Danio rerio: one gene and its partner. Each later gene encodes a partner of the first gene's protein in a complex. Links are inferred from orthologs where the notes say so. Each region holds a gene or a part of one and is shown in the gene's direction. Other genes may lie near its edges.

The links. The genes of interacting proteins can lie anywhere in the genome.
Region 2: the proteins of cpsf6 (region 1) and nudt21 are in contact, whole or in part, in a crystal structure (PDB 3P5T), measured with the Homo sapiens proteins. The link is inferred for Danio rerio from reciprocal best matches to the Homo sapiens genes CPSF6 and NUDT21. Residues at the interface, in NP_008938.2 of Homo sapiens: Trp90, Trp91, Thr92, Thr93, Asp94, Glu95, Lys113, Phe114, Glu116, Asn117, Arg118, Ala119, Asn120, Gly121, Gln122, Ser123; in NP_008937.1 of Homo sapiens: Pro151, Asn152, Glu154, Pro156, Tyr158, Tyr160, Pro162, Ala163, His164, Ile165, Thr166, Lys167.

Annotation. Positions count from the first base shown.
Region 1 is NC_133179.1:2,380,686-2,384,880, reverse strand, and holds part of cpsf6 (cleavage and polyadenylation specificity factor subunit 6), read left to right. Parts: coding exon 1-131; intron 132-515; coding exon 516-689; intron 690-1,287; coding exon 1,288-1,771; intron 1,772-3,744; coding exon 3,745-3,860; intron 3,861-3,933; coding exon 3,934-4,087; intron 4,088-4,195. UniProt on the Homo sapiens protein: Component of the cleavage factor Im (CFIm) complex that functions as an activator of the pre-mRNA 3'-end cleavage and polyadenylation processing required for the maturation of pre-mRNA into functional mRNAs.
Region 2 is NC_133193.1:24,123,743-24,128,499, reverse strand, and holds the start of nudt21 (cleavage and polyadenylation specificity factor subunit 5), read left to right. Parts: upstream 1-1,545; 5' UTR 1,546-1,671; coding exon 1,672-1,790; intron 1,791-4,108; coding exon 4,109-4,309; intron 4,310-4,517; coding exon 4,518-4,581; intron 4,582-4,757. UniProt on the Homo sapiens protein: Component of the cleavage factor Im (CFIm) complex that functions as an activator of the pre-mRNA 3'-end cleavage and polyadenylation processing required for the maturation of pre-mRNA into functional mRNAs.

The DNA of each region.
Region 1 (4,195 bases):
GTTGTCTAAACGGGAGCTGCATGGACAAAACCCCATCGTCACCCCTTGCAACAAACAGTCTCTCAGTCAGTTCGAGATGCAGTCACGAAAAAGTGAGCGCAGAGGATTCGACAATTCACATTATCATAAAGGTCCCGTGAATTGCTTTGAAATGTGCATTTTTGTTTGATGTGTGATGTAGTTTCCAATGAAATGTGAAGACAGGGTGGGACATAGAATAGCTCCTTCCCCTTAAAAAGATGGGTGGGACGTGTCAAATATATGCATTTGATTGGCCAGCAGATTTGATAAAAAAAAAAATCCATTTAAGATAAAGTGACAATCTGCAACTTTTTATGTTTTTATCTTGTAAATGTAAATTTTATCACTGTTTTGGAGCACACTAGACTATAGATATCCTTAAAACTAACATCTAATGTTAATTTTGATTTCACGGGGACTTTAAACTTACTGAATGAGAATAGCGTTGCTGTATGTGTGCTGCAGTTTAGAAGAGTGTGTTTTGGTCCACGCAGGCACACAGTCAGGACAGATGTCAGGAGAGGGGAAGGCTGGTCCTCCAGGCTCAGGATCTCGAGGTGGAGGATTCCCTCCTGGCAAAGGTCAGAGACGCTTTCCTGGCCCACCTGGACAAGGAGACCGCTTCCCTGGACCGGTTGGACCTGGCGGTCCTCCACCACACTTCCCAGGTATAAGCTTGAACAGGAGTGAACTTTTGAATTGTCAGTATATACATCAGAACTAACAGCTATTATTATAGGTCTGCAATGGGAGGAAACAAATAGGACTGTAATTTGTTCTATCAGTTGTTGGATCTATAACAACTGATAGAGAAGATTTAATAATGCAAGTTTCTACAACATTATACAGACTTAAAGTAGAGGGTAAAAATGTACATTTTTGTTGTGGACCGGCACATATTGGAATAATGGGAAATAAAATTGGCAGATAAATTGGCAAAAAGAATCATTGAAGAAAAATCAAGTAGATGTTAAAGTACCTTTGGGAAGGAATGAAATGAGATCAGTAATTAATAAGGAAATAACAAATATTTGGCAACAATATTTGGTCTGAAAACTGATGCTCTGAGGTGAATGGGTCACTTTTCAAGTGAATCAGAAAAAGTTGATCAATTGTCCTAAATCAAGAATGGGTGATGTTTAATGTTCACCACAAAACTAGCAGTGTGAGCTCCCAAAATCATACGGTTAGTTTTGATTTCATGTGTATTTTTGTAATCCCTTCTCCTCTCTGCTTCAAAATGTAATGCATCAAATCTTCTTGCAGGTATGCAGGGCCCACCACGTCTTCCCTCTGGCCCACCTGGGCCCCTGGGACCTCCAGGCCCCCCTCCACCTGGACAAGGTCTGCCTCCTCCCCTCGGCGGACCCCCTAACAGAGGAGACCGTCCTCCTCCACCTGTCTTGTTTCCTGGTCAGTTCGGGCAACCCCCAATGGGCCCGATGCCTCCTGGGCCTCCCCCACCAGGATACGGGCCTCCCCCAGGCCCCCCTCCACCTCAGCAGGGACCACCCCCTCCAGGACCCTTCCCTCCCCGTCCACCTGGGCCCTTAGGACCCCCGCTTGGCCTCGCACCCCCACCACACATGCAGGGACCCCCACCTGGAGGCCCACCGCCGGCTCCTCACGTCAACCCGGCCTTCTTCCCACCACCTGGAAACAACATGCCATCATCTGACGGCAGAGGACCCCCACCTGGAGACCCGTACGGCCGCCCACCTCCTTATGACAGAGACTTCCCTGGTGGCAGGTAATAAACACATCGCCCACAACTACACCTATACTCTAAAAAGCCCGAAGTGTATGTGCACAGTTAAATGAACAGTCTTACTATAGTATGCTGTGATGGCATGCTCACTACAACAGATAACACTGCAAATATGCATTCAATTGTTTTTCATTGGAAGCACATTTAGATGTAATTTAATCATTTCACATTACATTTTAATATTGACAGCCATAACTTGATAACATTTTATAAATATTAAAAAATAAGTGAAGTTTCACAAACTAATTTCTAGAAGAGCACGTGATATGATCAACTAGAGCTGATCCTCATCACTGATCATTAGCTAGCCTATCAGATCATTCCAAAACTACTATGAATATCCTGCCTAAACTCCGTTCCCTGTCTTCGTTTTTGGCAAACCCCCTTCTATCCTTCCCTTCTCCTTCCTCGTTAATTATATGATAGGGCAACAGGGTGGCTCAATGGCTGGCGCTGCTGCCTCGCAGTGGGAGGGCCAAAGGTTCAAGTTCTAATTGAGCCAGTCGTTACTCTCTGCCATGAGTTTGCATGTTCACCCTGTGTTCCCGTATGTTTTCCTCGGGTACTCCGGTTTCCTCCAACAGTCTTAAAACATGTACATAAGCGAACTGTAAAGTCATAAGCACTTAACGCATACATACTGAATCAGTCAGAACCACCATATTAACCATAGTATAAAACAAACGAGAGGGCTCTCGAAGAATACCCGATCTCCTATCCAAACTAATGCTCATTGACCAAACGGGAACCTTGTGCTCTTCGATTTGAGATTCAGGTTCTCTCCTGGGACAGCATGCCAAACCTGCTATCATAGTTAAGCATTGTCTAAGTGTGAACTCCTAAATGTATTTATATATTGTTACGTGTTAATGATGTTAAATAATTAAAAGGATGATACGTAACAATCAGTGAGTCCATTGATGCTGGGTGAATAAGGAGAAGACACAAACGCTTGATAAGTGAAACAAAAAGTAAGTATTTATTAATGGATAATGTCAAACAATGAATATGAGATGGAAGATAAATGTAATTTTAAATAATTGAATTAAATAAAGAAAAATAGGAGTGTTGCCAAAACAAAGAAATAAATATAACAAAACGATCTAACTAAACCCCAACCCACTAAACTGACTGATCAAAGAAAAATGCAGAAACAAAACAGTAATCTTCAGCACGTAGCTTAACTAAACTTCATAACTCCCAAACATAATTACACATGAGGCAACGCCTCCAAAAACGAACTAATACAAAGTTATACTAAGCTGCTCGAAATACTAGAATTCTTGTAAAGTACAGACTGTTAGCCATTAGCAAAACAAGATCTCAGGTAATCCAATTCTCATAAAGATCGTTCATATTCTCACTATACATTAACCTGAGCAGCACAAGTTTAACTGATAAATCCATATCAACAAAGAGAAAACTAGAACACAGCACTCGCAAACAAACCAAGCGGAACAAACAAGTCAACAGTTTGAGAGATTGACAGGCCAAGCGCTCCTCCAGAACAGCGCAAGCGCACCGGTTTTATACTGCGCGGACCCAATCCTTATTAGCGCCGATTGAGTGACGAAGGTGAATGACAGCTCACTCGACCAATGGTAGCACACCTGAAACAGGATAGGACCACTGCGAGAGAGAGAGAGAGAGAGAGAGAGAAGAGCGCAAAGCAGAAAACAACAAAAATACCACAAAACATACGTGAAACGTAACTATTTTTTTAAACCTGTCTATCTTGCATTTGGATGGTATTTCCTTTTATTTTGGTGTCGCTTTAGTTTTTAGTTGCTGAAATGTCTGTGCCTCACTTTGATTTAACATGTGATGCAATGTGATTCAGCACTAACGACCACTGCAGCTCTTTGTGTGAATTCGATCCCTGAAGCATTACGCTTCGCTCTGACTCGTGCTTTTAGTTTGCGCGTGTTCATTAATCAGCATTTTGTGTGCTTCAGGGACATGGATGCGTCTCGCACTCCCCTGAGCGAAGCTGAGTTTGAGGAGATCATGAACCGGAACAGAGCGATTTCCAGCAGCGCTATTTCAAGGGCCGTTTCTGATGCCAGTGCAGGTGTGGAGATCATTACACCCAGCACAAATATGAGGTGTGGTGTGTTGTGAATTAACCGTTTCCGTTTCTGCAGCTGATTACGGCAGTGCTATAGAGACTCTGGTGACGGCCATCTCTCTGATCAAGCAGTCGAAGGTTTCTGCTGACGACCGCTGCAAAGTTCTCATCAGCTCACTGCAGGACTGCTTGCATGGAATCGAGTCCAAATCGTATGGCTCTGTGGCAGGGTAAGGATCTTGTGGATCTAGCTTTTTTTTGTGTTTGCTTTGGAGGATGATGCATAAGGTTTGCATGATCTTTCATGTACATGATGCGCATTTTGAGACCTCGTTTGT
Region 2 (4,757 bases), on another chromosome or scaffold:
AAGAGGTACAATTTGCCATTTTTCCTTTTGATGATCGCTTAGGACCATTAACCCTTTAGATAGGCCTGTGCAAAAACATTTCTGGCTTTTATATGGAGCTCTATGGAGTAAAAAGCAAATAATAGTGTGCATGCAGAAAGACACTTACTGTGTTAAGTATTTTCTGAAAGCTGAGGTGTTTATTAAGATTTTCTCAGACATATCAAGGTATGTGCACTAAGCTGTTTTTGCACTGCATTATATACTGCTTAAAGCACAGGTGTCAAACTCAGTTCCTGATGGACCACAGCTCTGCACAGTTTAGCTTAACCCTAATTAAACAAACCTGATTAAACTAATTGAGTCCTTCAGGTTTCAGGTAAGTATATCGAAGCAGGGTTGAAGCTAAACTGTGCAAGGTTGCGGCCCTCCAGGAACTGAGTTTGACATTCCTGGCTTAAAGAATGGCAATAATTGATCACATGTTTAGCAAAATATGCAAGTGATTCAGTGTAGGCTAACTTGTTGTGCCTCCAACACAGGTAGAAAAGAATTCTGACCCAGATATGGCATATATCTGGCAGGGCAGGCATTTGTCTGGCACTGGCATACAGCATGTAGGCCAAACATGGCCCTGGTTTGGCAGAGGTGGCACCGTCTTTAAGACGGCACACAATAGGCCTACTCGGGCCAGATGTTAACAATTGATATATGAGCCATGAACGTTAGGCTTATCTTGACCCACATTTAAAATACATTTTTATTATTTTCAAATAAAGAAAAAAATTCTACCAAGTACCAATCATCGCTTCGAGAAAAAGCAAGCCCATAGCATGCCTAAAGCGCAATGATCCCTGAGTATATCAATTTCATTGCAGACGGGATACAAAAACATATCTGGTGAAGTTTAGGCTCAGTTATGGGTTATTAACTTGTCTGAGACTTGGCCCAGATATTGTCCATGTTTGGTCCTTGTCTAAAAGCCAGAATTGGTCCACTCATATACCATAATTTACTGCCGCAAGTGGGCCAAGCAAAAGCTGATTATGTGGGCCAGATATTTTTTGATATGTGGGAATAGCACCGACTGATGATGTTTTAAAAACACCAAAGGTCCGTATAAAGTATTAAAAAAACTGTTCTGTTTACATTAAAGCAAAAATTAGGCTACGTATACACAAAGCAATCTTGCAAACATTAAATGGTAAAATTCCCTAAATAACTATTACAGGCTATATAAGTGGTTTAATTGTTACTGTCTTTTTCTGATTAATACATGGTTTAATAATCTAGTTTGGACATTTCTGTGGTATTCTTGTGTTTGTGATGTCAGGTTAACAGACACCAAAACACGCCTTGTAGCAGGCAGAAAAGTGTAATAAACAACCACAAACCCTCTGTTTGAAGGGTAAGGGTTTGAATCGTGTCTGGACTGTTCAAACCCACTACTTATAATGTGGAAAACAACTCTTGCTCATAGATCAGATGAGAAAAATCTGAAGAGCCGAAACACACGGTCGTAACACAGGAAGTAACCCAATGTCCCGGATGTGCTTTCACAGCAGAGCGCCGTATTCCAGTTTTCATCGAGCGCCAAGGCTGTGCAATTCAATCACAGTAATAAAGTAATCAACGTGGAAAAAAACGCGATTAGTGCAAATATTAGGAAGTGATTTAATAATCCGTCATACGATGTCAGTTGTACCTCCTAATCGATCATCTACCGGTTGGCCTCGAGGAGTAAATCAGTTCGGCAATAAATACATTACCCAGGCGACTAAACCCCTCACCCTGGAGAGAACAATCAACCTGTGAGTAACTTGAACTTAAAATTCAACACTACAAACGATATATGCGATTACTTAAACAAGCTTTAATGGTTGTAAATCCTAGTGCTGCTGCATTGTGCCTTTCATGTCAGTACGTTAGCATTGTTAGCGTTTGACCATGGCAGACTACCGTAGCTTCTTGCTGCCAGCTCTTGTTTGCATGCGTAACAATACAGTGAAATATTCAGAGTTTTGTTTTTTATGTGGCAAAATGCATGCACATTTATGGCAGTGTGTACATATGCAGGGATATTGAAATATAAGAGTTCGATATAGTTCTTATTAGTTTTGTATTCCATATGTTGCAGTTAGCATTGTTCTCGGTGATTTATCCTAGGGCTCTTTGCACATTTATTCGAAAATATCACTAACATTAGTCGACAGGCGCAATGTTATTGAAATGTTATTTGATTATTTGTGGTTTATGGTGTTATTTGTTATTATTTTGGTGTAACGTTAAGTATGACTTAGAAATCAAACAGTCGAATTCTTGAGCAAGTTACGTAAACAAATCCCAATCATTGATTATATTGAGTGACGGTAGAATTGTTATTATAATTGTTGATTTTGTTAATAACGCTAACCTTATGCCAATGTTAATCAAATATTAATATGAATGATCTTTAATGTAAATTCAAATTTGATATTGAAACCCTTATTTGGGAGTATTATTTTTAATTTGTACAAAAAGCTGTATGAAAACACAATGGAATGAAACGCCCATAATAGGCGAGCACAAGATCCAAATTACACTTTGTATAAAATTAATAAATGATTGCTCTTTTAAAGGTAGGACCTGTGAAATAAAATAAAAAGTAAAAATAAAGCTTTTTAGATGTTAGTTTTGAGGATATCTATAAGCTAGTGTGCTCAAACAGTGACTCAATTTGCGTTATAAGATATATACACATCTAAAGCCCGCAGTTTGTCACTTCCGCCTAATCTATGATTATTCATAGGTCACTTCATGTTTTACTTACTCACCAAATCTTGACCAATCAAATGCTCTCTAGTATGTGAGCATAAACCCCACCCCCTGCCAAGATGGTTCTCATTTGCTATTCATTTGATGCCTTAAGCTCAAACACTCTCATTGGCAGAGATTGTTTGTGATAAAAACAAAACGCTATTCTCTGTTTTTATTTTCTAAAGGGGAGGAACTGCCACCATTTCATTATGTTTCAGTTGAGATTACCTCAAACATGGAATATAAATGCCCATTTCAAAGCACTTCACAAAACCTTTAAACATTCAAAATACCACAGATTGGTAATGCCTTCTGGTCAAAATTAGAGCAGCACAATATTAGGGAGAAATTACCAAGTGATATTTTAATCCTCTGCGATGTACATTGCGATAATTTTACTAGATGAAATGAGTAGGTCTATTCAAAAAGAATTCATAATTTAGGTGATTTATTAAGGGAGTGATTTTGCAATAATATACAGTAACAAACCAATCACAAGCTTTGATAAATACAGTTGGGAATCTGGCATAATTCAGACGCACAGATACATGAACCATTGGATTTTAATAACTTTTTGAAATAATTATGATGAAATGCATCCTCCATTACATAAATTGTGACTTTTTGTGACCCCTTGATATGCAACCACTTATTTGAAAACAAGATTCTTAAAGGTTTTGAAGCTTTATGGAAATTTACATGACTAGCGGCTAGGGCTGCACTGTATTTGAAAAATCTAACATTGGGATATGTTTTTGTTCTGTGACATAAATTGCAATATAAATACAATTTTACAAGCCTATTTGGAAAGAATTAGAAATTTTAGATTGATTGGGATGATTTTGTAGAAGAGTGCATGCATAAAAAAATAAGAAACAAGCATAGAAAAATTCAATAAAGAAAAATACAAATTACATAAACAGTGTTTTATTGTTTTTGAGGAGTCAAACTGCATTTAGGTGTACAGTAAATGATTAATTGTAAAATAAAACAAGCAAATTCATCATTATTATTTTTTAGTTAAAAGCTGTACACATGCTGTTAAAACCCTCACACAATCACAGGCCTCAAAAACACTTGAAATATTGTAAATTATAACCCAGACTCAACATTGCATATACTCGTGATTTGACTATTGCGAATGTTCACATTGCGATATCAATGCTGAAACGATATATTGTGCAGCCCTACTACTAGCGGCCACATACAGTGCTTGCCATCTTTTTTCCCTCATTATTTTGTTATGATGCTATGTTTTGTTTTGCAGTGTGTGGATTATTAAAGCTTTATCACACCTCAATTTAAATGAAATAACATGTTTGTTTTTCCAAAGATACCCTCTTACAAATTACACATTCGGCACCAAGGAGCCGCTCTATGAGAAGGACAGCTCGGTAGCCGCACGCTTTCAGCGGATGCGGGAAGAATTTGAGAAAATCGGGATGCGGCGGACTGTGGAGGGTGTTCTGATCGTGCACGAGCACAGACTCCCTCATGTTCTGCTACTTCAGCTGGGGACAACCTTCTTCAAACTGTAAGCTATAGATTGTGTGTTGTGGATGTGATGAATTCAATAGAGTGCTGCTGTTTAAGTGGTTAAGCTGTTATATAAAGAAACCTATCTTTAAATATTCCTACTTGTTGTTCACTATTTTTCAATGGCTTGTTTGCTTTTCTTTATATTGTTTTGTTTGTTCATCTATTGTGAGTTTGAGTGAGTGACAGTTATTTTGTTTTTACAGCCCTGGAGGCGAGTTGAACCCTGGAGAGGATGAGGTGGAGGGGTTGAAGCGACTAATGACAGAGGTATCATTATTTTTCTGACTGTGTGCAAAGCTACACTATACTCGATTCTAGGGCTGCACTTGCTGCAAGTCTATATTTGAAATAATGAACTTGAGCTCATGATGATAACTCACACATGATTAGGTTGAAGTGCTTTTTACATCCAGTTGGAAACAGACAAACGTGGTAGTGAAGCA